4 linked regions of the Caenorhabditis elegans genome follow. The protein of the gene in region 2 interacts with the protein of the main gene of each other region in a biochemical or structural test. Each region holds a gene or a part of one and is shown on either strand. Other genes may lie near its edges. The genes, in order: dmsr-8, flp-12, dmsr-1 and dmsr-7.

Region 1 (7,189 bases), on a different chromosome or scaffold from region 2:
ACAAACAAAATGATCACCTCCAGCGGTTTCCCAGCTCCTTATATAAACTAGAACCCTTCTCTAAAGTTATGGATATCTATGTCCATACGTATTTTTCCTGGAAAGTAATCGGATTCATAAAATATCAGTTTTCTCAGTAATCGCTGCTTCTCCCATTTCATCTATTCTTTGCTAGTTCTTTTTACGTCATCTTCACCCATTTTCCCCTTTCACCACCCCGTCTAAAAACTCAAAAACGACGCACCACGAACTTCTCATATTTATGGGCATTTAGATCTGTCCATTATTCAAAGTGCTCCTATCCTCTCTTTCTTCATATCTGCACATTTTATGATATAATTCCTTTGTTGGCCACAAAGGCGAATATACTCGTTTTTTTTCTTGTGTACGCAGTAATAATATGAACATCGGAAACAAATTTTTTCTTGATTCTTGGATTATTGTACAGGTCATTTTATCATCAATTTCATATGTAAACTAAAATTAAACAAATACTCGTATAATGCAAGTTGGGCAAATGAAATGGTTATCGTATCCTCAATTTAAATTATTTGTTACTGTTATTATAAACCTCTTATAAATTACAAAAATTGAAAAAACCGTGTTCAGGTAGTCTCATGAATGCAAATGCTTTCTCATATATGGAAAAAAAAACACACCAACAGTTCATTTCATATATTGCCATGCAATACAATTAACTTCGTCAATGCAAAATGGAAATTAAAAATCCTCAAATTGCCGATTGTCACAAAAACATACTTGCGTACCTTATTTGAACTCTGAGCTTGTCATAACTGTGACAAGTGACATGAAACGTAATCTTTTTGTGATCATTGCTTTGCTCTCTTTGACATAATATTTTGATCAAGCATCACAGGAACATCCAACCTAACACATTCCCAGACTTAATGAAATCAACAACTCAAAGTTCCCAGGCAATTCATTTCCCACCACCCCCATCTTTTCATTGTTCCACCACCCGTCTGGTTCATCAAATCACCGGACATTGATATCCTCTTTCAAATACAACGACAATCAATCAACAGTGTTTACCTATCATCTTATTGAGAAAAAAAGACAGAAGAAGCATGTGTTCTTCTTTCTTCACCGCCTCCTTCTTATTAGATTCTACTCAAATTCGTACCCATTTTATAATTATCCCCATCATTAGAGTTGTTATTATGGCCATATTCGTTTCTAAGTTGACATTATAATGAGGGAGACAAAGAGAAAGAGATCTGCCAATGACAACTCTGTTCACACATTGACAATTTGTTTTGGTGGTTCGTGGCTCATCGCATAAACTTTCGCCCGATTTAATTCAAATTACGGACTCAGATGGCTCATCTTTCCCAGTTTTCGGCATTCCACTAGTAATTTCAAAAAACGGCTGCTCACTTTCACTTAGTTTCATCATCGAAATGTTCGTTTAAATGAAACTCTCAATGTCAGACACCCTTTTCTCCTTTTCCTCTTTTTTCCGATCTTCTATTTCGTTTTAATCACTTGCTCGTCAATCAGATCTTAGGAAACGATAACATTTCTTTGTAGACTAAAAATCAAAATCCTTTTCTGATTTTTACTTGGAAGATTTCTTTTAAAATACTGACTGAACAGACTAAAATTATTCATCGACACGCTCTCTGTAAAAGTCTTTCATGTGTCCTTCCTTTTCGGTCCACATTTTCTTCGAATGAATTTCTTATTTTTTCGTGGGAATTCGATAAGAAAAGGTATTTTTACGTGAGAAAAGCGTTCGCCTTCTTCGAAAACTAGATTAAAGTTTAAGTCGATTTTGAGATGAATGTTTTCGAGTTTTTCAATTTTCTCTGTAAGGTAGTTTGATTTTATTCCCTGTTTATTCCTCTCCATTCCTTGAATTTGCCAGGAGTTTTGACATTTTCTACCGTAATTTGTTCTACAAGTAACATTTTTTTTTATCAAAATCTAAAACTGTGTTTTTGAAACTAAAACCGTTAAATAAGTCCAAAGCGGAATTTTGCAGACTTAATAATTTTCAGAGCATCGGGTAACTTCATGGTTTTTTCTTCAGAAAAATCAGACAATGTTTCGTGTCTCTTTTTGAAGTATGGGGGAAACCAACTTCCATTTCTGGACCGTTTCAAAAAGTTTAAGTGATACATTTTTATAATTTATATTGAATGACGAAAATCCCGTTTTTTCTAATCGTTTTTAAGGAATTCTTTTCAAAATCAACCCAATCATCGAGAGCAGTATATTTTTTTCCGTTTCTTGAAATCAAGCCACTTATCAATCTCCCACATTTTGTTATTCCTCTTACTCATCGTTTTCACATCGTCATTTTATTCTTTTCAAGTTTTCTGAATATATTCCCAATCTGAATAGCCTAAATTTTTGTTCCATTCTTTTTTTGCGCAGTTTTATTTATATTTTTTGCATTTTATTTTGTAATTTTCAGGGAAAAAATAGACGGAGTGTGAAATGATATCTCAAAACCTAAGTGGAACAAAATAATTACAATATTTTTTATTAATATACCTCCGGACTAGGAGGACACTTCTCACAAAAGTAAGTTGTTTAAATAGAAGTGTACTAAAATTTTCATGATATATTTTTTGATGGAAGAAAATCTTCAGCACTTTTATTCATTGATATTTGTTCAAAAACAGTTTTAATTAATTTTTTTGAAATATTGTAAAATGCAGTACTTGTAGACATCCTCATTGTAAATTCACACTAGTTTGATAGATCCTTCTCTAAAAATCTCTGGAATATTAGAGTACTTTCATTTTAAATTCATAAGCTCATAATCCATTTTTAGATGGGATGTGACATGGGTTCGGTGAATTTCACGGGTGCCGAGTGGCTTGAGACAGCAGTGACAAATATAAATACAGCGTATGCTCATATTCATCCGTACGTCTCTGTGATTCTCTGTCTTGCAGGTTGGTTATTATGAAGTGATCGCACATGTTGATCCTTTTTCAGATGGTAATTTACTGAAAATAACATGCAGGGGGAAGCAGAAAAAGGTGTTTGTTGATGACGAAAAAGCAACAGAAAGAGTGAAAAGCAAGAAATAAAATCTGATTTGAAAGTGCGCAGAGCGTGTGAGATTTATTGAGCACGTGCAAAAAGACTGAAATAAATAATGAACACTTGACAAAAATAATTAAATAAGGTCTGATCCTAAAATATGATATATATATGGGTGATTTTTTAAAGAATTTAAAACTACATTGGTTGTTTTGTATATGGCTTGACAGTTTGCTTGACATTTTTTGCAAAGTTAAAAAATTTAGGAAAAAACAAATATACGAAAAAACAAAACGGAAAATTCGCGAGAAGATTTATTTCATTTTTTGAGTATCTACAGTGGAAAAAAAATAATTAAAAAATAAAACCCCGAAATGTTTATAAATCGGCAGGTTTAGTTGATTTGCTGCGTACGCGTTGTTTTCAAGTGATTTCGTGATTTCCCAAAAAATAAAAAATAATACAATTTGCGCATTAAGAGAGCGTTGAAGCACAGCACTGACATCTACCAAAAACTGCTTTAAAATTATTACGACAACAAAAATGTTCAACTAATGCCACAAGTGAATTTTGTAGGTACTGCAATGAACATAGTAACAGTGATTGTTCTAACTCGTCCATCAATGAGATCAGCCGTCAATTCACTTCTTTGTGCAATTGCTCTTTGCGACATTCTTGTTATGACCAGTGTCCTGGTTTTTGTTACTCATTTTCTACTATTTGCGGGGTACAGGTTTGTCGGTTTTGCATGCACGAGTTTCTTTCTGTTGACTGATTTTCTGTGATCTCTAACATTTTCTGTGTTTTCTAAATAATCAGAGGTATAAACTAACATCAACGCAGCAGTTCAACACGATGCAATTGGTATATTTTGTCATTAATTCCTAATTAAAGGAATCCTCTTTTGTAGACTTATTGGTTGAATTTGTAGAATCGTGTTCTTTTTGCATTTAATTTTGAATTTTTTTCTGATTTATTGTGATTTGTGACTCAAATAGTGTCCATTGGATATGGGAATGAAAGAACTTTGAGAATGAGTTATCATGAAAAAGCATCCAAATAGATTTTGATGTTTTCAATTCAATTTGAAAAAATATATACCTGAATATTTCCAGATGCGATCCAACAGACTACAACATTTATTGGGCATATTTTTTATACTATCATTCCCAAGCCACGGTTATTTTCCATGCAACAAGTATTTGGTTAACAGTAAGTTTTCACGATTAAAATTCAAAAACTTATATTATCAAAACCAGGTTCTACTAGCCCAAATTCGAGTGTTTTCTATCCGGCGAGCAACATCTGTAGCTGGAGAATCTGTAACTAATCAAATGACTTGTATTATTGCTGTTACAACATTTATTGTAGTTTGTTTGTTAAATGTTCCAAATATGCTGACATTTGAGGTAATCACACTTTTTATTCTAGAATATCAAGAATTGAAATGACCAAAACTTGAAAAATTAATTAATTATTGTTATTATCCCGTTTCGGTTTGAACATAACCTTGAAAAAAAAAACAATTTAATAGCTAAAATCAAATTAGCTATTAGCTGAAATACTTAAATTTTAGATAATTGAAACGCCAGCATCTCTTTGGCTTCAATGCAAAGCAAACGAGACAGCTGAAGACGATATGCTCGTTTATTTGGTTGCTCCATCTGATCATTGCGGACTACTTAATGTGAGTAAATATCTTGTTTCTGCTAACTTTTTATGTTCTTTAGATTGCATTCTGGACAAATGGAGTACTTTTCAAAGTTGTTCCTTGTCTTCTTCTAACATTTTCTATAGTTGCACTTGTCAGTATTATTCGTGACGTTGGAAAACGAAGGAAACAATTAGCTCAAGTGATGAATAAGAAAAGAATGCCACGAGATCATACTACACCAATGCTTGTCGCCGTTCTTTCAATATTTTTATTTGCTGAACTTCCACAAGGAGTACTTCACGTCTTCAATGCAATTTTCACAAAAGAAACATTCTACGATAAAATATACATTCATCTCGGAGATGTGATGGATGTCCTCTCGTTGCTCAATTCTGCCGTTAACTTCATCATTTATTGTGCAATGAGTCGGAAGTTCCGAGCCGTATTTATCCAGATATTCCTTACATGCTTGCCACAAAAAATTATACGGTTGGAGATAAAGTTGTGGGTTCGTATAATGAATTTGAAATATAAGTTGCAGAAAATACGCAATGGAAGCATTCCTGGACGTTGAAGTATCTCGCATGAGACCTACTGCTGATATGACAAAAAGTGAACAATTGGCATTAACGTCACACCGAGTTTCAGCGTCCTCCGTTCTTTTACCTATTTCTAGACCTGATCCACCCAGAATGTATTCTGGAAATCTGCTTACAGCTGGTAAGTATATTGTTTTGCAATAAGTATTCCAAGATAGTTGCGTATTATTAAAACCAGGAGTGTGCGGCAATCGACAATTTTCGGCAATACAGAAACGTTCGCCCCTGTTTGAAACAAAGAAGTTTAAATTTGGTTTTAACAGAAATTGTTTCCAATTTTTAAAATAGAAACCTACATAATTTTAAAACTACACAACTATCTTGGATTCTTCAAAAAACAAGTATCTTAATATCAAATTTCAGAGGATTCTGCCTAAGTTAGTTGAAAAGGTGAACCTTCTTGCTTGACTTCTCTCAAACTGATTCTGATACATCTCTAACTTTTATACCTTTGACCCAAGCTAATTTGAAACTGACATGATACTCTCTTTCTGCACATATACATTCCTAACTTTCTTGTGACTTCTCAAACTTGCTTGTTTGTTTTTCTAAGCAAACTTTGATGTTTTCATTTCAGACATCAACGGCGGATACTCTACATCTCCTCGTGTTTCCTTTGATATCGTTCGTAAAGAATCGCAGATCAGTAGCGTCGTCGATTTCCAACTTGTGGTACCAAATATGCAGGTAGTTAATTAGGTTTCAAAAAAAAAATTAAACAAACACATTTTCAGCAAGACTCCCTAAGCATTGTTCAAAAAATTCTCAGATTTTTCCGTTCTACAGATGAGCTTTCCAATAGTCCACACAGAAGAATTAAATTAATGCAATGTGAAACAAGTACTGCTCTTTATTAAATTTTTGCCATGACTTAAAAAAAAGTTCTTGAATTCTGCTGATCTGGAAACATAACGTTATAGTTTCAGACTTTCTGAAACTAGGTTTGCGACATGATCTTTAACTCAGAATTCACATTGTATTGTTTCATAAACACACCGTTAATGTCATATTATTACATATTTACTGGTACTTTATCTCTACATATCGATAGATTGTCTCCTTTTTTTCTGTATTTATTACAATAAATCTTTATTTAAAGTCCATTTCAAGTGGAAAAATTGGAACTCGATTCGAAATTAATTCGGGTTTTTTGAATCTGAGAAGAGTGAAATTCGAGCAAGGTGCCAATACGGCTCGTCCAATTTCCTCATGAAAGGACCCTGATTCTGTTGAATTGAACAAGACTATTTCTGAATAAAGATTCAATGTTTTAGCGTGAATTCAAACCAAACCTTTAATAAAATCTCCCGTATTCAACTTGAAATCTCCTGTCCGGTTTGACATAATTTGTAGAAGGTCCTCATGTTTTCGATTGTCAAGTTCTACAATATTCATTCGCGGATGGAAAATGTCATGCACATCAACAGACGGAATTTCAGTGTTATTAAGTAGAGAGAATATTTTTTCTGAAAAAAAAATGTACAGAGTGGTTAGCTAATTTCGATAGCTGTTCTGATAATTGAAATTGACTTCAAACTTATCATGAAAAATAGTGAATCCGAAAATGATAAAAACTTTAAAACTTTAAAAAATCGAAAAGTTTCATGGATCAACTAAAATCACACTTTTTCATAATTTAGTTTTTCATAAAAACAAAAACTAAGTGTATTCTGGAGACTGGAGAAATTGAAAAAGTACTATTTATAGCTTGTATATTTATGGCTTTTTTCAAATGTTTGATTTCTCAGGATTTTTTTAAAATGAACAACACGCATTGACCCGATGTTCATGTGCTCAACAGACGCAATGATCATTTGATTTTTTTCTGAACATTTTTGTGCTTGCAGGAAAAGAGATATTGTTTGTTTCCAAATCACAGAAAAAGATTCAATCAATAAAATTTTGCAACAACAAAAAA
Region 2 (4,829 bases):
TCTGAAAATATTGTCTTCAAATTATCTGTTTTTTTCGAGCTTCAAATTGTAACCCACCCAACCCATACACTACACCCCAAAAGTTTGATCGTGATGTCAAACGCATCGAAGCCACCCATCGCGCTTGTTTTTTAGTTGAAACTCCCTTAAAATCTCTGATGTTTTCCATTTGAATCCGCATTTGAATTGCACATCGAAACGTGTAAAAAGCCATAACGAGTCGGAACTACATTCGTAATGATACTTTTTTTCTAAAGCATCACTCCCCAATGGCTCGTTTCAATGACGTTTTTCAACAAAATCGAAAACCACCCTCGTACTTTTTCTTCTGTACAAAAGGGCAGTACGATTCTACGCTGAAGTGTGAAATGTGTGATGGGTATGGGAAATAGTATTGAAAAAAACTATGTAACTCAAACATTCAAAATACAAAAGTATCCTTCAAAAACAGTTGATTTCATTTTCAATGTTTCAAAATGACGTTAGTTCTACAAAAAAAGTTAACTCAACTCGACATGTGCTACTCAGCGGTTAAACGTTACAACTTTTCAAAATCACTACGAAAAACGCTAATTCGTTTTGCTTGCACGTATGGAAGATTTCAGAGCAATCATAAATTATGGATAACACTGAAAGTCTTTAACAACAAAAGTATTTTTGACGGAAATTTTTAAAAAACGGGAATTAGATTGACATAGTAACAAAATGTGTTTATCAATTACAATTACATCAAAAATAAAAGTATCATGCGACAAAGACATTCTTGATTAAATGTCGGAATTATCAATGCCGAGAGTGTGGATCAGGCCAATTAAACCGGATTACTCATTTCAGAGTGCTAAAATTTTTGAAGATTAGAATCAAATTCACTTCATTACGATGATTGCTCTGAACTAGCTGGGAAGAGAAACAAGGAATATTTTTGGTTTTTTTCTGGAAGGGGATTGTTTCACTGTATAATTTTTTTGATTGTAGACAATATTCACCCAAATGCTCACTTTTCCATTTTATACTATTGATTTCAGTGTAATGGAATGTACGACTGATAAAATCGTTCCAATAAACACTTAAGTCACCCCACTTGAGCCAACATTTGATATTTGACCAATCCACATACTGAAACTTGAGTAAATGGTTCCACTTCCTCTTCCTTTTTTCTTCAAGCCCTTCTGAAAAAAGTTCATTGGTTTTGAACTTGTCTTAAAACAGAACGGAAACTTATACGAGTTTCCTGAACGAGGAAAAGTTTTGGAGCAGTTTTTTCGAACTTTAAAGCTTTTCCAAATCTGATAAATTCAAAAGTGTTCAAACTGGTAAAAAGCCAGACGTTTATTAATGTGAAGACATTAAAATTGATTATGAACAAAAAAAGTAATTTCGAGTTGAAGTAAATTTACAATAGGAGCATATATTCTTTTTGAAACTGTTACCAGTATTATTTGGAAAATCTTTTAATGCTCACCGTGAGACCAGCTCTAATATTTTGAAGCTAAAAATTCACAACGCCACGCTTGCATATCTTGCTCAAAAGTCCGGTGGTATCTTCAGATGGCTCCTTAGAAAATCTTTTGATCATGCAGTCTTCCAGCCTGGCGGCCCTTTTAAGCCTTATATACGATAGGGGGATTACGGTTAATGCTAAATGGTTGCAAATGTGTGTTTTATTTACGTGATGATGTTTGATGAATCAGCATATGAAAATATTTTGGAGAAAAATAATGAGATAATCGAGTTACATGACACCTAGTTTGGAGTTGATAATATTAGTATGTTTGTTGATAATATTACTATTTGGTTTCAAATTGAAAAATACTGAAACTCAAAAATTTTGGTATACTTCTAGAATTGCCTTCCTGGAATTGGAAAACATAATTATTGCAGAGATCAAAATAGAAGCCTGAGATAATTCTGGATGGCTTTAAAGTTTCAAAAACCAGTAGTTAAACTTTGATTCTTATTGTGCCATTGAAACGATCTTGTTTTTAATCAAGATGCTTTGGGGAGTACTTCATCTCTATGACTTATGAATTCAAAGAAATACACACAGTGGGCGTCCTGGACATAAGTTAATTTTGGAAGAGTGTACATAGAATAAGAATTTTGTTTCAAATTAATTTGACAAGTCATCGAAATAGTATTTTACACATTTATGGGTAGGTTTTCTTGTGTACTTTGCTGTTTTCTTGTATAAAACAGCAACAGCGATTTCAAAATCTGTGAATAGATGCAATTGGTGGTTGCACTATATAGAGAGGGATAGGCTTCTCAAAATAGTTCCGTTTCGACTCTGTAAATTTGTCATGCTTCCGGAGATTGCACTCCAATTTAGACATTCTTTCAATAATGTTTTGTACGGAATCTCAAAAGTGTCTTGCATTGTTATATTGTGCACAATATTTCTGGACCCCCACGGTCGCGCCTTTTGCCTTCCAATTTGCGCCTTTTGTGCGTGTCACACCAGCATCACTTTTTCGCCGCCTTCATCCGGGATTCCTCTATCCTTCACAATCAGTATGGAGGAGAAGAAGCACTGCCGGCGGAAAGCGATGACGAGTTGTGTGGTGAGAGGACGGATTGCCCAATTTTCCAACTATTGTCTACCATCAATCTTCTCCCGAAAAGACACATGATTTCATTTTTTCTTTTCCACTCCTTCTATTTTTTTGCTGTCTTGGTGACATTGAGAGCTCAACTTCATCCACCATAATTTCTCCTCCCAAAAGGGGAGGACCATCATTAGGCCACGCCCACTTGGTCGGCACATAAGCTCGCCAGATTCAGATCGGCATAATATTTGCGCCACACAAGCTGAACTTTCAGTAAACATGAATGTTCAAGTCATCATCGCCCTTTTGTTCTGCCTTATTGCAACATGTGCTACACAGAAAGGTAAGCCACTAGTTCCTTGTTTCAGAAATAGCTTTCAAAATGTAACACTAGACATAGCTCTCCATGTATTGTTAAAACGAATTGGTGTCGTCGTGCTAAGAATTACAATTTGACAAGGAGTCTCCGAGTGGGTGAATCCTGTCAAAACCAAACATGTACATAAATCCTCAATACACAATCTAGTAATGCAATTCACTTCCAAAATATGTCTCAAAAATTAGGCGCAAAAAATTGGAATGTCCTAGCGTCGAGTCACCGACTCATTAATCCCATTAGTCCCAACTATTTCTCATCCAACATGCATAATTACACCAAGAAAAATTCCTCTTCCTGTTGTGCAAATAACACAAAGCGCAGTGTGGCCTAGCTGGAAATTAGGGACTCTTCTGGACAAAAATCTTTCTGAAAATAAAGCAAAAAAAAAACTAGATAAAAGTGAGATTCTGAATAACAAGTAGCAAATCGAGAAACAGAAACGGAAGAAAATATTCTTGGCCCATTGCATTTTAGGAACTCGTCTTATGGGGCCCAGCAAGAAAACCCGACTAGACACATTGATATTATCTTTAATGTATTGTTTTTAGTCAAAGGATCGCCTGAAGTACTCCCGGCAGCCATGTACGATGGGGAACTGAGCCACGAAAGCGTAAACAAGGTACTGTTACTGCTTACCGCACCGAGAGCAACTCGATCATTTCTCAATTGTTTTCAGATTAGTGCTCAGCTGCTGAATGCTCTATCAGAGTTGGAAGCACTTCAGGAGGGCAACCAGCAGCTCAAGATGGCCGAAAAACGACGCAACAAGTTCGAGTTCATTCGATTTGGACGAAAGTAGAGCATCATTTGAGCCGAGCATTGTTTCCAACCTTGAAAAGGATCTATTTAACCTTCTGAATCTCTGAATCTCTCAAATGTTCTCACTCTCTATGTCAATTTCGTAATGAATTGTGATAGCAGCCGATGAAAATAAAACTTGAATTGTTTTTCCTTGTTTATCCCGTGTTTATTGCAATTTTCCTTTTAAAAAATTGGAAGAAAATTGGAAATTTATAAAGCCTGTTAAATTTTGACTTGGAAATATGAAATAATACAATTTGAGTTTATAAAGCCAAATTTAGGCTGATATTTATAAAAGCTGGAAGAATCCTGTCTAACTTAAGTTGTTAGGAAATTTGTCATTCTTTTGAACAATCTTAAGATTGTAGTTTTACTCGTTAAACTCGTTAAAATACAACCGAAAATTGCGTTTTGATTTGATAACCAGATTTTAAAAAAATTAAATGATAATATAATTTTTAGAATATTTTAGTAGTTTGAAATTTCTTTCTAAAAACCAACAACAACAACATACCGTGCTCACCGAGAACTTCACACATCGCTACTTAACTACGCAATTAGACAGTTCAAATAGTTGGCTTAAAAATTAGCCAAAGTTTTGAAATCTGAATTTTTATATACAGTACAAAAGTTTAATCAACTGTATTAGATTTTCAACCTTCCCAATTTCAATTCTACTTGGAAGCACAAAAAAGTTACGAAAAATGTAAAAAGTTAAATTTCTATTTGTAATTTCAATTTTTACACTTTGTTTTGAATGTCTAATTGCTTCTGAAAAATTTCTCGTAAACTGCAATAAAGCATTTTATTTTGTTTTCAGGTTCCCATGCGATGCATAATCAGAAACGAGAACGAGATCGAAATGGAACTTAGAAAAATTGTTTGCTGGTTTTTAGCATTGATTAAAATCCGTGAAGATGTTCCATTGTTTTTCCTTGTTCACTCTTTCTTCCAACATTGTTCAATTTGAATTTCTGAATAAGAGCCCGCAAAGTTCATTAGATCAAAACAAAAATGTTAAAGTATTTGGCAAGGTCGAACAGAAATTTCGAATGATCTTCACAACAATAGTACAGATACCAGAGAACGGAGGCTGCAAAAAC
Region 3 (6,436 bases), on a different chromosome or scaffold from region 2:
AATCTGACGTCTCTAATTCAAAGAAAACATGAAGAAGAAGAAGAAGGAGAAGCAAAAAATAAAACTTTCATCGTCTTTGAATATAGGATATGCTGAAGCGGGGGAGAAGCTCTTGCGCCAAGAAACAGAAGCAGGAGCTTTCAACTCGAGTCAAATTTGGCCAATTTTGCTACTTTCAGGCTCGTCTTCTTCGACGTTTTGCTCCGCCTTATTCTATCCAAACTTTTCACTTTCTTTAGTTTTTTTTTTGAAGAACCGAAAAGTTCATTCCAATTTCCGCTTGGGTTGACAAATTCACAAATTCAAATCCAAAGCCCTCCCTCAGCGTTGCTAAACTTTTTTACGAAGTGAATGAAAAGCAGAAACAGGCTTTTGCAAATGAAAGAAGAAGAAAAAGCAGCAAAGCTGTTTCTATCTCTGCTCCACCCCCGATCCTTTCATAATATAATATTTTTAATATTCAAAACCTACGGCTATACAAACGGCAATGGAATTTCAAGATCCATTCCCCCAATCTTGGGAGTAGAGGAGCTGAGCATCCGGCGGCTAGCGAGGTAGCAATAACACTGCATTCCATTTCTTCTTCCTCTCATCCTCCTCCTCCTCGAATTGAATGAATTCAATTGGACGGGCGACTGAATTTATAAAGAAATATGAAAATGAGAAGACGGGGAAAATATGGAATGCAAAAAGAAAAGAATTTCATTGTCCTCATCTCTCTAAGTTTGGTCAGTTTATCCTACGGCTTCTTCTTCTGTCACCTTTTTATGTGCAGAAATAGTTGCGTCATTCGTAAGGTCACATGAAGTTTCGTTTAAGTTAGGCAAAGAGCCCATCCACTGTCACAAATTCGGTTAGCTTCAGAATTTGCATTTTTCTCGGTCTCAACATCCGTCGGTTTTTTTATTTGGCCCCGTACCTTCCATCTTTTTCTCCGAGTTTGATACTTCTTGTGGGTACTTTTTGTACTCTCACTCGTATCATACTTCTTGATAGGTCTTCTCAACTATCAACTTGTTTACAAGTTTGTAATATTTTTAGAATTTTCTGTTCTGTAAATATGTTTACATGTTGTTGGATTTTGATGTTTTAAGTATAAAGGATTTGATTGCATTGTGGAAACTTTTGGCGTTGCATTTTAAAGTTCGACGTCACAAAAAATAATTTTAAAAAGTAAAATAAGAGAAGTTATAATAATCCTTATTTTTCAGCTATTTTTCAATACAATTTAATACACAAAAATGATTTAACAAGCAATATAGGAAAATCCGACCTAACCGGACTTCCATCATTTTCCTTCCCCTAACTCAAAAGTAATTATGCTTAAAATTTTCAATACTTGGGATATGTTTGCCAGTGGAGTTTGATCTTGTACCTTTTACTTTTTTATCGTAACTTCAAACCGAATTCCGGCAAATATTTTCATTTTCAGCATAAACTTTTGTCGTTTTCTTTAATGATAAGTGCGAAAAATTCCTCTGGCACGAGAGTCAGCTCAATGAGTTTTTTTCCTGAAGTGACTCCGGAAATGGGTGCTCACCTGACATGTGGTCACGGATCAACACATGACTAACTTTGGAAATATCTATCCAAACCTTATCCGCTCTGTAATTAGAGTTGGAGCGCGCTAGGCCGCCTCACACACTTCCGAGCGCTGACCGAAATTTGGTTATATTCTGATGTTATTTTTTGTCGGGGAGAGATGCGTTGCACCCCGCTCTGCGTTTATCTGTCCGTGCTCAACATAAAAAAGGTTCTTTTTTTTGAGTAAAAAAGCAACAAATTCCGCCCATGCTTAGATACTGGGCCCATCATGGCGGCGAACGGAAGGACTAGGAAGCGAGGCTTGTTTTGAGTTTCTTTTAGTGATCGAATAGCGGTTGGAAGTAGATACGGATATTGCACATATATATATATATATATATATATATATATATATATATATATGTGTGTGTTTTGAAGTGAAGAGACAGTGAAATAGTGACAAAAAGCTGTTGAGATATCCATTTAGGTTTTTGAATTTTCTATTTTTCAAAATGCGTAACGTTTATGGTTTTTAATGACGTGATGTCTCTCTGAAATAGCGGGCATTTAAAAACAACTCTTCTTCCAAGTGATAGAAAAAGAAATAATTATCAATTTATTTTTCCAAGTGCCTGGAATTTGTGACATTTTCTTTGTAATCGAATACATGCTCAATTGCCGAAATTGTGTAGCGGCAAAAAAATTAATCAAAAAACGAATGTGAATATGAATTTGGTATAGTGCATATCAATTTTTCCGAAAATTTGTGTACTTTTGAATGTATTAATCTTGTTCAGTTTATGCAAATTATTCCTTCTGAAGTTCATTCAAAACTTTTTGGCTCTCTTTTTTCAATTGTACTCTTAATTTTCCCAGTAAAAAAATCATTAAACTTCCTGTGCTATTTTTATTTTTATATTTTCTGATTTTGCAACTCCTTCAATTTCTGAATAATGATTTCTTTAAGGAAGTTTTATCTGCAAGATCTCCCTAATTGGCAATAATTGGTGTTTATCTTAGATTTTTGAGCAAAAGCTTGCAGTATATTTTTGTTAGTTTTTTTGTTCCAAAAAAACACACTCACCCTATTATTTGAGTGTTTTTGTTTTAAAAAGTGAATGAGCAATGTGTTGCCAAATCTTTGTCCCTTTTGTCATTTTTTTCATAGTCATCTCTCATTTCTAATGACGTTTTCCGGTTTTCCGAATCGGAGCCGTTTTTCATTTGAACGCTTGTTTTCCTCATTTTCAACGTTTCAATATTAATAAATTGTTGTTTTTTTTCAGATGTTCAAATAGAATCAGAAACAATAGAACAGAGGAACAGCAAACAAAATGGAGTTTACCGAATGCAAAACTACATTTATTCATCTGCCCGATAAAAGTTTTTTATACGATGTTTTTGTGTAAGTTTTACTTTTGTGTCTCAAAAATCTTTCAAATAATTGCCCAGTACTGTTGTATTTGACGTATTTTCAAAAAGTACAGTTTATCATCATTAAAAGTTATCCTATTATTTGTAGAAATCATCCCTAAAAATAGCGAATAAAACCAAGTTATTGAAGAAGGTTATCTTATCTTAAATTATTGTGTCCTCAAAAGTGATGACCATAAAAAAGAGAGCCATTAATAAATATTTCAAGAGCAAAAGTGGAAAAAAGTGAAATTAAACGTTTTTTTTTCAGAAGTGTATATAATTTCTACCATCCTATACATGCCTACTTATCAATATTTCTATGCGTGTTGGGTACAATCGCTAATTTCTGTAACATCGTCGTACTAACGAGACGAACAATGCGAACGCCAGTTAATATGATTTTGACAGCAATGGCATCTTGTGATACAGTTGTGTTATTTTCAAATTTAATATACACAACACATTACTCATTTGTCGCTTTCAAGTTTTGTCATCCGAAACATTGGTCCTACTCTTGGGCGTTATTTTTAATTGCTCATGCTCATCTTTCATTAGTTGCACATTCTTCAAGTGTTTGGTTGTCAGGTAAGCTTTTCATTCTGAAGACAACTGTCCAACTCTTCGATTTTATTGCAGTTATGCTTGCACTTGTTCGATATGTAACACTTCGAAGTAGGGGAAATATGGGTGGTATGCAAGTGACGTTAAGGCATTCTTATTATGCCGTTGCTGTTACTGTATCCCTTGTAGCAGTGCTTAATGCACCGAATTTTCTGAATTACAAAATCAATGAACAGCCATTGAATGAAACGTGTACCGATTTGGATCCAATGTTCTGGAATTCGCCCGCGTATCTTCCTGGAATTGCAGACATTGCAAAAGCAAACAGCTGTCTGGTAAGATTTTTGAATTTCAGTAAAAAAAAAACAAGATTTTTGTTAAAAAATAATGTTTGACAAATTGTATACAAACAAAATTTCTCGAAAAACTTTTTTATTGGAACTTAGATTTATAAACTAAAAATTTTGGCAAGATCATCATAATATAACTTTGAAGCTTTGGATTTATATAAACCTTTTTGGAAATAATTGATCGATCATATGTACATATGATATCATGAAAATTATACAAAATAATATTTATCATCGTGATCGTCACCCTAGCAAAAACCAATTTCCTAATTTCCTGCAGGTCTTCCGGTTATCTTATTGGATATCCGGTATGGTATTCAAAGTATTACCATGTGCGCTTCTATCGTTGTTTGTTTGGCTCCTTTTACGAATTCTTCGTGAAGTGCGTGAGAATCGTCAACGTCTTCTCAAGAACTCGCAACATCGACCACCGAATCAAACGACTACTCGAAACGGACAAAGACTGAGCATTTCAGTTGCAGGCAACGAGAAATTAGGCAGAAATGGAAGCTTACGGGGGAGAGGAGAACGTGTCGATCGGACAACTCATATGTTATTGGCAATTGTAGCAGTTATGCTAGTGACTGAATTACCTCAAGGAATTATGGCTGTCTTGTCTGGAATGTGTTCTGAAGAATTCCGAATTTACATTTATAACAATCTGGGAGACATTCTCGATTTGTTCTCACTTTGCGGTTCATGTTGTTCATTCATCATTTACTGCTCAATGAGTGGACAGTTCAGAAATGTAAGTTTTGATATTACTTGAAAAAAATTTCAATGAGCGACATCTTTTCAAAATACCTCAATGAAAAATGTGTTGTATGCTGTTAGAAAATACTACAAACTTTCTCAACATTCGGTGGAACTTTCCAAGCGAATTTGTCTTTTTTTTCTTTGTTTTCTTACTAACATGATGTTCGGCAGCGTCTTAAAATGCGCTTAAGATCTCTACATTTTCCGACAATTGCGGAGTTGTTTTTACAAGAAAAATCATGGAAGTACATACTTTGCTCATTTTATGAATGTGTGTTTAGTTCATTTTAACACAGGGAACAAGCATTTTCATTTGATTTCTATAAATAAAAATTGGTTCATTTTCAATATAGAAAAATCATAAAATTTTTAGGAATTCCACCGTGTCTTTGTACCTGCAAAGGTGAGATGTCTCCGAATGTCATCGCCGTCGATTCGTCGTCCATCCGACGCCTACAGTACCACAAAAATGACTTTTCTAAAACCAAACGAGAAAAACGGAAATGGAATGAATGGAAATGGCACTTATTCGGAAGATACAAGGTCAGCAAGTGTTAAAGTAAGAATATCAACACATGTTTTTTCTACAAAACTTTTGAATAAGCCATGTTAATTTTCAGATGGTCGGAATCCAGGTACGAAGAAACAGTACGGAAATAACGAGAATGACTGGATGTGATTCAATTACTCCATGTTCTCCAATGCCAACATCATTTCCATCATCCCCACTTCCACCGATTCGAAGTGGAGAAGATGAATCCACTGATGAGACATCACATCTACTTAACAGCTCAGGACCCAACTCAACAGCCAGTGCTGATGGAATTCGTGGACACTTTCAAAACATTTGATATCAGAATTTTTTAAACACACAAATTGCAACACGTGTCAGAACAAAACCATTAGTATTTACCATATTCACGGGTTTCTATTTCAATTTTCTGATTACGTTGATTTCTTCTTAAGCGTGTCCTATTAATGAATCTTGTTTTTTATTAGTAACATACTTTTTTTTTAAATCTTTAAACTTTTCAGAATTGAAAAAAAAAATAAAGTAATTGTTCAGAAATTAAAATTCTTTCAATTTGCATATTGAGGTTATTGATTTATGTATATGACAACCTTTTATGAATGAAAATTGCAGAATTGGGAATATTGTATCCTCGGAGAACTTCAAACTAGCTCCCATAGTAGGTAGACATAGATTGATTTTCATAAGCATTTTTCTGGTTTAAATGAATTTTTTATCATGCCATCACAAAAATATTGATGGCAAACATGACAGTCGTATGTCACCGTGTAATTAAAACACTTACTTAAAAAGGATAATCTTCCAACTTGTAAAAATGTTTCGGCATAGCAATCTTTTATTTGTCAATGGAAAGTAATAGCTAGAGATCAATTAACCGACAAAGTTACCGGGTGCCGAAATGAAAGAGAAAAAAACAGAAAAGCTGACTATAATGAAAGCATCAAGTGGGGGAGAAAAGTAGAAGAAAACGCACAACCCGTTTCGGAATGTTCTTTTTCGGTTTCTGGCTACACAAATTGAAAAAAATAAACTAGTAGCTACTTGGAAACAACAGCTCTTTCTGGTGTTGAGATCGTGACGTGGCGTTTTAGTTGAGTTCCCAAGTTTCGAATTGGTGACATTGAACAATCTCTGGATGGAACATTTGAAGCAAATTCTCCGGGTGCATTTGAATTTCCCGCTGGACGATAAAAGCAGACAACAGCTACACAATTATTTGCTGTGTTCCAATACCGTGCAGCGCCAAGTTCTGTTGTATCTTTCCAAACAACTTGTGAAAATCGTTGACATTCTGAAA
Region 4 (6,279 bases), on a different chromosome or scaffold from region 2:
ATATAAGTTTCTTGGCATTTCACTGTAAAAGCGGTGTTTCATTGGGTTCAGGGTAGGCATAGGTCGCCTTGAAGGCAGGCATTTTACCTTTTTAATGTAAAATTTTTCGGAGAAACTTTCTCTTGATCTTTATAGCATGAGTGTGCTTTTGAAATTTTTTGAAATTTTTGCAATTTCAATTTCTTTCAATTTCCCGAAAAATCCAAGCTAAATCTAAAAGTTTGAAAAACAAGCAATCTGTGAAAAACACATCTGGAACTTTATTCAATAATCTTTCTTTTTCTTCACCCCAATTGTTTTTTGTTTCGTTCTAGGCCTGTTTGTATCTTTGTATGATAGCAAAAGTCAGAGCCACTGTAACTAAATAATGTGCTCAAACTGAAAAAAAACGGAGGCATTCCAAGCAGCCGCCTGAATCATTCTATCCGGGAGTCTGCACAGCCATCTGAAAGATTAGTCTAGAATTGAGCATTAGGAAACTTGTGGAGGAGCCAGAAGGAACCAAGAAAGGCTCCTCTTCATTGCCCAAAGTTTTGTTGTGATTTGTGCATCCCAATTCTCTCCTCTCACTATTCCTACCCCTCCTTCTAGTCCTTCTTTTTTTTTCCTCCTTTTTGCTCGTCACTTTGAAAATAATGCAGTCTCGTCACTGCTTTTCAAGCACTAGAAGCTGCTTGAACTGCAAATTGAATTTGAGGAGAAGCTTCGCCATTTTGTTTCGAGTAAAAAAGACAATGAACACGTTACGTGCGCAATCCACCATTGGTAGCGCCTCTCCTTCCTCCAGTTTTTGCCCCTTTTCAGCTTTTTTCCTGCATTTTTCTCATTTCTCCCCCAATTAGGCTCTCTGCATTTTAAGGTGTTAGAGAATTAGCTAGGTCACTCTTTTGATTTCTTGAAACAAAGATGAAATGTTCAGTGGTCAATAGTCAATAGGCACATCACTTCAATTCCCAAGGGACTTGAGCTTTCTTTCTTCCCCTTTTGACTGCGCCTGCGCCCCTAAACTTTTTTTTTCCACGTTTTCCTTATTCATAAGTCGTGAGAATATTCGATTTTCCGATTCATCTTCTCTGGAAGATGAATTCATTAACTTTGAATGCCACATTTCTGTCTCGAAATCCATTCTGTTTCAAATGTTTCGGTGTGTGTGAAGCAGCACCACACAACAAACATTTTCACAAGATGGCCCCCTGATTTTATATGTTTTATGGTGGCATGAAATACCAAAGTTTAAAACTTTTATACTTAACTAATAAGTTTCTGTTCTAGGTAGGACTAACATGGTAGGCAGGCGCATAAAATTTGAAAGCAATAAATTTGAATTTCGATTAATTTGATGAAAAGCAGGTGGACCTAACTTTGAAGTCCGGCAGGTAGGCAGTCGTTTGGCGCCTACCTAGAAGCCCTAGATCTAGGTTACATGTTCACAAGAAACAGAAAGTTGAGCGAAAGATTAAACATTCACGAACGAGTGTGCTTCACAATTATAATCATCGCAATTATAAAACTGCTGAAAAATATGCTTACTATGTTTTAAAAGACTAGTCTTGCCAAGATAAGTTGGCAGGCATGCCTACATGCCTACCAATTATTTTGTGCATTTTCAAGATCTGCTGAAATCGAAAAAAATTATTTTAAAATGTTTTAAACCCAAATAATAAATATTTTGATAAATATGGCTCTCTTTTACGGTTTCGAGTGTCATTTTTTTTTAAACATGCAAAATTTACAAAAGAATTTACGCGTTTTTTGCAATTTTTCGCTCACTTTGTTTTCGAAAACAAACAAATCTACCGCCCTGGCCGGCAAAAAAATAGGTTTTTTGGTTTTTTTTACTCTAGGAAATAGTTTTTAAAAAATAAAAATCTTCAATCAAAGATTTTTACAATTTTTCAAAGTATTTTCCTGCTATAGAAATAACAACTCACGGAACAAAAATAACTTCCGGCCAGTGACCTATAATTTTGTAAATTTTTTGAAAAACGAAATTATATATTTTGTTCGAAAACTCGATCAGCTTCTTCCACAACAACCGACTGTCATCTAAAAGTTCAAAAAACACAGAACGCATTCCACCCTGTTGCTCTTGGCTTCTTCTGATTTTCTCCTTATGTTTCTTTGTTTCAATGGTCTTTAAAAACCCCTTAAATTTTCAACATTTTGAAGGATGTGCTAGATATGGAATGTCCGCACGATGCTCAGTTGTTTGATCCGAACAGTAACAGTACGCAGGCATTTCTTCGGAAACTTGCACATTTTCAAAGGTTTGTTAAACTATTTTTTGTGCACTTCTTTCAAAAAAAGAAAAATGAACCAATGATTAATTGTCAGATGGTACCAGCCAATTCACGGATATGTATGTGTGCTCATCTGCGTTTTTGGTATCTTCACCAATTTTGTGCATGTGGCAGTTTTATCGAGACCCAACATGCGCAATTCGGCCGTCAACTGCATACTGACAGCAGTGGCTGTCTGTGATATCGGAACAATGGCATCCTATCTCATTTATATTATACATTTTGTCTTACGACGAAATAATTCCTGGTAATTCTTGTGTGTTTATTGGGTGGAAATGTTTTTGTTTTGGGAAATGGAGCGGCGTGGCGGCTTTTGAGTAGGAACATCAACAAATATGGAATTTTTGGAAAAATAACACAAGCTTTAAAATATTTATTTTCTGGTTTTTCCTATTCCAATTTTATGGTGAATTGCAAAACCCGGAAAATGTCGGTCACTTCATAAAAAGGATGTAGAGTTCGAAGGCGCTGATTGGTTTAAAAATAGTCATGGCTTCTCATTTTGGAAAAATTCAAATATGAAAATTCGCAATTTCAAAAATTGGACATTTTTAAATCTTTCTCGATTTTTTAAGTTTCCTTTTTTTTTGATTATGCAGCATATATTTGAATATTTCGAATACTTTGAAACAAAATCCTTATTTTCCAAACTCTACCTCAAACCATTAATAACAAGAATTCAAACTAAGTGTGCTCTTTCTATTGAAAATTTTGAAGGATATTTATATTCTTCTATTTTTCCACTCAAGTATCAACACACACACACAAAAAAACATCCTCAAAGTAATAATGGAATTTCAAAAGTTGAATGCCCATGTTCGTCACTTGCTGCACTTAATTGAAGAGGCATAGAATTTTAGTTGAACCTGGAACTATTTATTTCCTCCTATCCGTTTTATGTGCATCAAAACATGAAAACAACTGCATATTTTATTGATCATAGGAAATTTTGAAAATCGTCACAAAGCTACAAACTACGTGTATTCATAAATAACAAAAGTGAATTCAAGATGAAAAGTCGCTCGTAAAATGATACTGAAAAACACGAAAACAAGCGTTTGCAATGAAACTCAATAATTTTTATTATTAGATTTTATTACAGCACTCCAACGTTCACTCATTCTTGGTTACAATTCCTATTGTGGCATGTTGTTTTGAGCATCACACTACACACAACTTCTTTATGGCTCGCTGTGGCGATGGCGTTCATTCGGAGGATGACATTAAGGGTTACCGCTTTGAATAGGTATGCTGGGAGCAAAGTTTAAGGGACTAACATTTTTTTATACACTAAGATGAACAAGTTTTGTAATGAAAGTTTTCAAAATTTTTTTCAAACAATGGTAGGTATCCAAAAATATTTAAAATTGAAATTTTACAAAGACATTGCAAGCAATATACCCAGAAACGTTGGCCCCCTTAAAAAATCTGGAAATTTTCAGTCAATGGCAACGACCAAAGTTCGCATGGAAGTTGTGCCTGGGAATCTATATGGTCGTATTTGTACTTTGTATTCCAAATATGCTGGTCCACGAAATCGCCCGTGTAGAAGGAAATGACTGGCGACCTGGCAAAACGTGTCAAAAATTTGCATCGAACTACTCTGAACCGGTGTACACTTTTATGGTCAGCCACGCGGCGACTATCAACAATTGCCGGTTGTTTAAATGGAATATTTGGATGATTGGAATTCTGTTCAAGGTTAGCGAGTACGCGAGTTATCAAATTAAACGTCCTACCAGTTTTCAGATCATTCCATGTATTCTGCTAATTTTCTTGTCTTTCGGCCTTGTATCAAAGATTAGAGACGCAGAAAAGCATCGGAGGAAACTAACGAGTGTTCCGTCAAATGCATCAACAGATTCAAAACCATTGAAAAAGTATAGTCAACTCTCAAAGAACTTTTATGACAAAATGGAAATTTTCAGAAAGAATGGAACATCAGATAGAACCACATTGATGCTTGTTGTTATTTTATTGGTATTTTTAATAACGGAGTTTCCACAAGGAATCATCTCGATTCTTTGCGCAATTTTTACTACAGACGTTCATAGGTAAGATTTGATGTTTAACTAGAAATTTGGCCTGGAAAAACTGAAATCGAACTGCCCCAAGCTTGACCCAATTTTTCTTGAGTCATTTGAATTTTTGGAAATTTGGGTGCAGGCTGAGTCTTGCAAAAGTGTTGCTAAATTTTTGTTGGCCCAATTAAAGCTAAAATTGGGCGCTAAAGAAGTTTTCGAAAAATTAAATTTTCCATTTCAGATACCTCTATTTCTACATTGGTGATGTTCTTGATCTCCTATCGCTTGTCAATTCCTCTGTAAATTTTGTTTTATATTGTGTGATGTCTTCAAGATACCGGCAGACGTTTTGGGAAGTTATCATTCCTTCGTGGGCTTGTGGGTAAGTTCATTCTTATTGAACCAGTTCCTGTTACAGTAGTCTAAAATAAAATTTTTCCTCTCAGATTGTGGACGACCCGTCGTGGTTCTCCGACGGAACTTTCACAGCTTCAGTTGAACAACAGCTTACGACTAGGAAGGTCAGTTAATTTGTTTTTGAAGTCTGGAAAATATTATCTTTAATTTGCAGAAAACAAAGCTATACGCCACTGGCAACTGAACCGGAACCAGCACGCAATGAGTATTGGCGGTATGAAGCTTCCGTGTCGGACAATCAGAACAGCAGTAGAGAACATCAACTTTAAATTCCAATTTTTTCGATCTCGGTACAAATTCCCTTTGCAGATTTTTTGTGATATCTTGCTCATTTTCATAGCTTTCGCATTTTCTATTCTATTCTTGTTACGGGTACTTTTTGTTTTTTATTAATTCAGTTTTTATATAAATCAATATGGTTTACAAAATTATTAAATTATTCACGGCGCCGTGAAAAAAAAATTGTTTACAAAAAGACACGTAGATGTGAGTAAAACTAGGAAAAAAAATTATTTTCAATTGAAAGTGATTTCCGAAAGGTGAGTTCTCTTTTTCTCTTCCAGGAATCAAAAGTTAAAAAGGTTTGATGTTTTAGATTATGAAAGACGACGTCGTTGACAACATAATAATTGATGTCCTGAGCGCTAGTACTCACGAAAAGCTACTTTCCGAAGTGATCACGGAAGGACGAGTTCTAAAGCTTCTCGATTTGGCACTGGATGTATTTAAAAGACAGAAATCAATGGTTGAAATGAATGCTCCGATAAAGGTGTGCGGTGACATCCATGGACAATTCCCGGATCTTCTTCGTCTCTTCCATCGTGGTGGATGGCCGCCGACTGCGAATTATTTATTCCTTGGTGACTATGTGGACCGTGGAAGATTTAGCATTGAAACCATTGTTCTTCTTCTCGCTTATAAGGTTTGTTGCTTTAAGTTTTGCAAAAAGAAGCTAGGATCAAAAATTGTGACGCGCCAGAATTAATCATTGACACAAAGAATGCCAAAACAGGGGATTTTTGCAGAGACCGCTTAGATTTTCCAAAATAAGCGTACACATGTGATAAATAAATGTGTTTTCAAAAAGAAACATATTTATTGTCCATCACATATTGCTCTGCAAAAAAGTGCGCATCTCTCAAGTATCAAAGTGACAGAAAGTTGATGCTGCTCCGATGAGCTGTCAAATTTGAAAAATGACGTCAACTGGAGTGATGGATCTTTTGGACGTTTATTTCTCTCTCCCGATCTTCCAAATCCCATGGCGTGAACTTCTTTGAAACATTTTTCAAGTCATGATTCCAGGTGAAATTCCCGGGCAATTTATTCTTGTTGCGTGGAAACCATGAGTGCGAGTTTGTCAACAAGGTATATGGATTCTATGAAGAGTGTCAGAAACGCTATCAAAGTGTTCGCATGTTCACGGCTTTCCAGGTAAATTTGATTTTTTACCAAAATTGAACAATAAGGTGCAATATTAATACAGGAAAAACGGTACTTTCAGGACGTATTCAATTGGCTTCCACTCTGCGGACTCA

What was found.
Region 1: the proteins of flp-12 (region 2) and dmsr-8 interact in a test that uses a peptide from one of them, tested with the Caenorhabditis elegans proteins (one large-scale study listed by BioGRID).
Region 3: the proteins of flp-12 (region 2) and dmsr-1 interact in a test that uses a peptide from one of them, tested with the Caenorhabditis elegans proteins (one large-scale study listed by BioGRID).
Region 4: the proteins of flp-12 (region 2) and dmsr-7 interact in a test that uses a peptide from one of them, tested with the Caenorhabditis elegans proteins (one large-scale study listed by BioGRID).

What each region holds. Positions count from the first base shown.
Region 1 is NC_003283.11:10,509,623-10,516,811, reverse strand, and holds dmsr-8 (G-protein coupled receptors family 1 profile domain-containing protein), read left to right. Parts: upstream 1-2,440; 5' UTR 2,441-2,550; intron 2,551-2,803; coding exon 2,804-2,927; intron 2,928-3,594; coding exon 3,595-3,751; intron 3,752-4,133; coding exon 4,134-4,230; intron 4,231-4,277; coding exon 4,278-4,427; intron 4,428-4,594; coding exon 4,595-4,705; intron 4,706-4,748; coding exon 4,749-5,161; intron 5,162-5,213; coding exon 5,214-5,392; intron 5,393-5,848; coding exon 5,849-5,958; intron 5,959-6,005; coding exon 6,006-6,128; 3' UTR 6,129-6,360; downstream 6,361-7,189. Other genes in the region: C35A5.6 (uncharacterized protein), read right to left, coding at 6,361-6,521, 6,564-6,737.
Region 2 is NC_003284.9:4,590,324-4,595,152, reverse strand, and holds flp-12 (FMRF-Like Peptide), read left to right. Parts: upstream 1-2,748; 5' UTR 2,749-2,825; coding exon 2,826-2,889; exon of another isoform or gene 2,890-3,473; coding exon 3,474-3,544; intron 3,545-3,601; coding exon 3,602-3,724; 3' UTR 3,725-3,872; downstream 3,873-4,829.
Region 3 is NC_003283.11:11,435,960-11,442,395, forward strand, and holds dmsr-1 (G-protein coupled receptor dmsr-1), read left to right. Parts: upstream 1-2,810; 5' UTR 2,811-2,858; coding exon 2,859-2,929; intron 2,930-3,208; coding exon 3,209-3,525; intron 3,526-3,576; coding exon 3,577-3,836; intron 3,837-4,131; coding exon 4,132-4,599; intron 4,600-4,980; coding exon 4,981-5,166; intron 5,167-5,227; coding exon 5,228-5,458; 3' UTR 5,459-5,605; downstream 5,606-6,436. Other genes in the region: F57B7.2 (SCP domain-containing protein), read right to left, coding at 6,177-6,430. UniProt on the Caenorhabditis elegans protein: G-protein coupled receptor.
Region 4 is NC_003283.11:5,403,189-5,409,467, forward strand, and holds dmsr-7 (G-protein coupled receptors family 1 profile domain-containing protein), read left to right. Parts: upstream 1-2,164; 5' UTR 2,165-2,181; coding exon 2,182-2,267; intron 2,268-2,334; coding exon 2,335-2,547; intron 2,548-3,402; coding exon 3,403-3,546; intron 3,547-3,742; coding exon 3,743-4,001; intron 4,002-4,049; coding exon 4,050-4,180; intron 4,181-4,228; coding exon 4,229-4,354; intron 4,355-4,565; coding exon 4,566-4,706; intron 4,707-4,770; coding exon 4,771-4,845; intron 4,846-4,895; coding exon 4,896-5,010; 3' UTR 5,011-5,198; downstream 5,199-6,279. Other genes in the region: C25A6.1 (Serine/threonine-protein phosphatase), read left to right, coding at 5,340-5,663, 6,047-6,175, 6,246-6,279.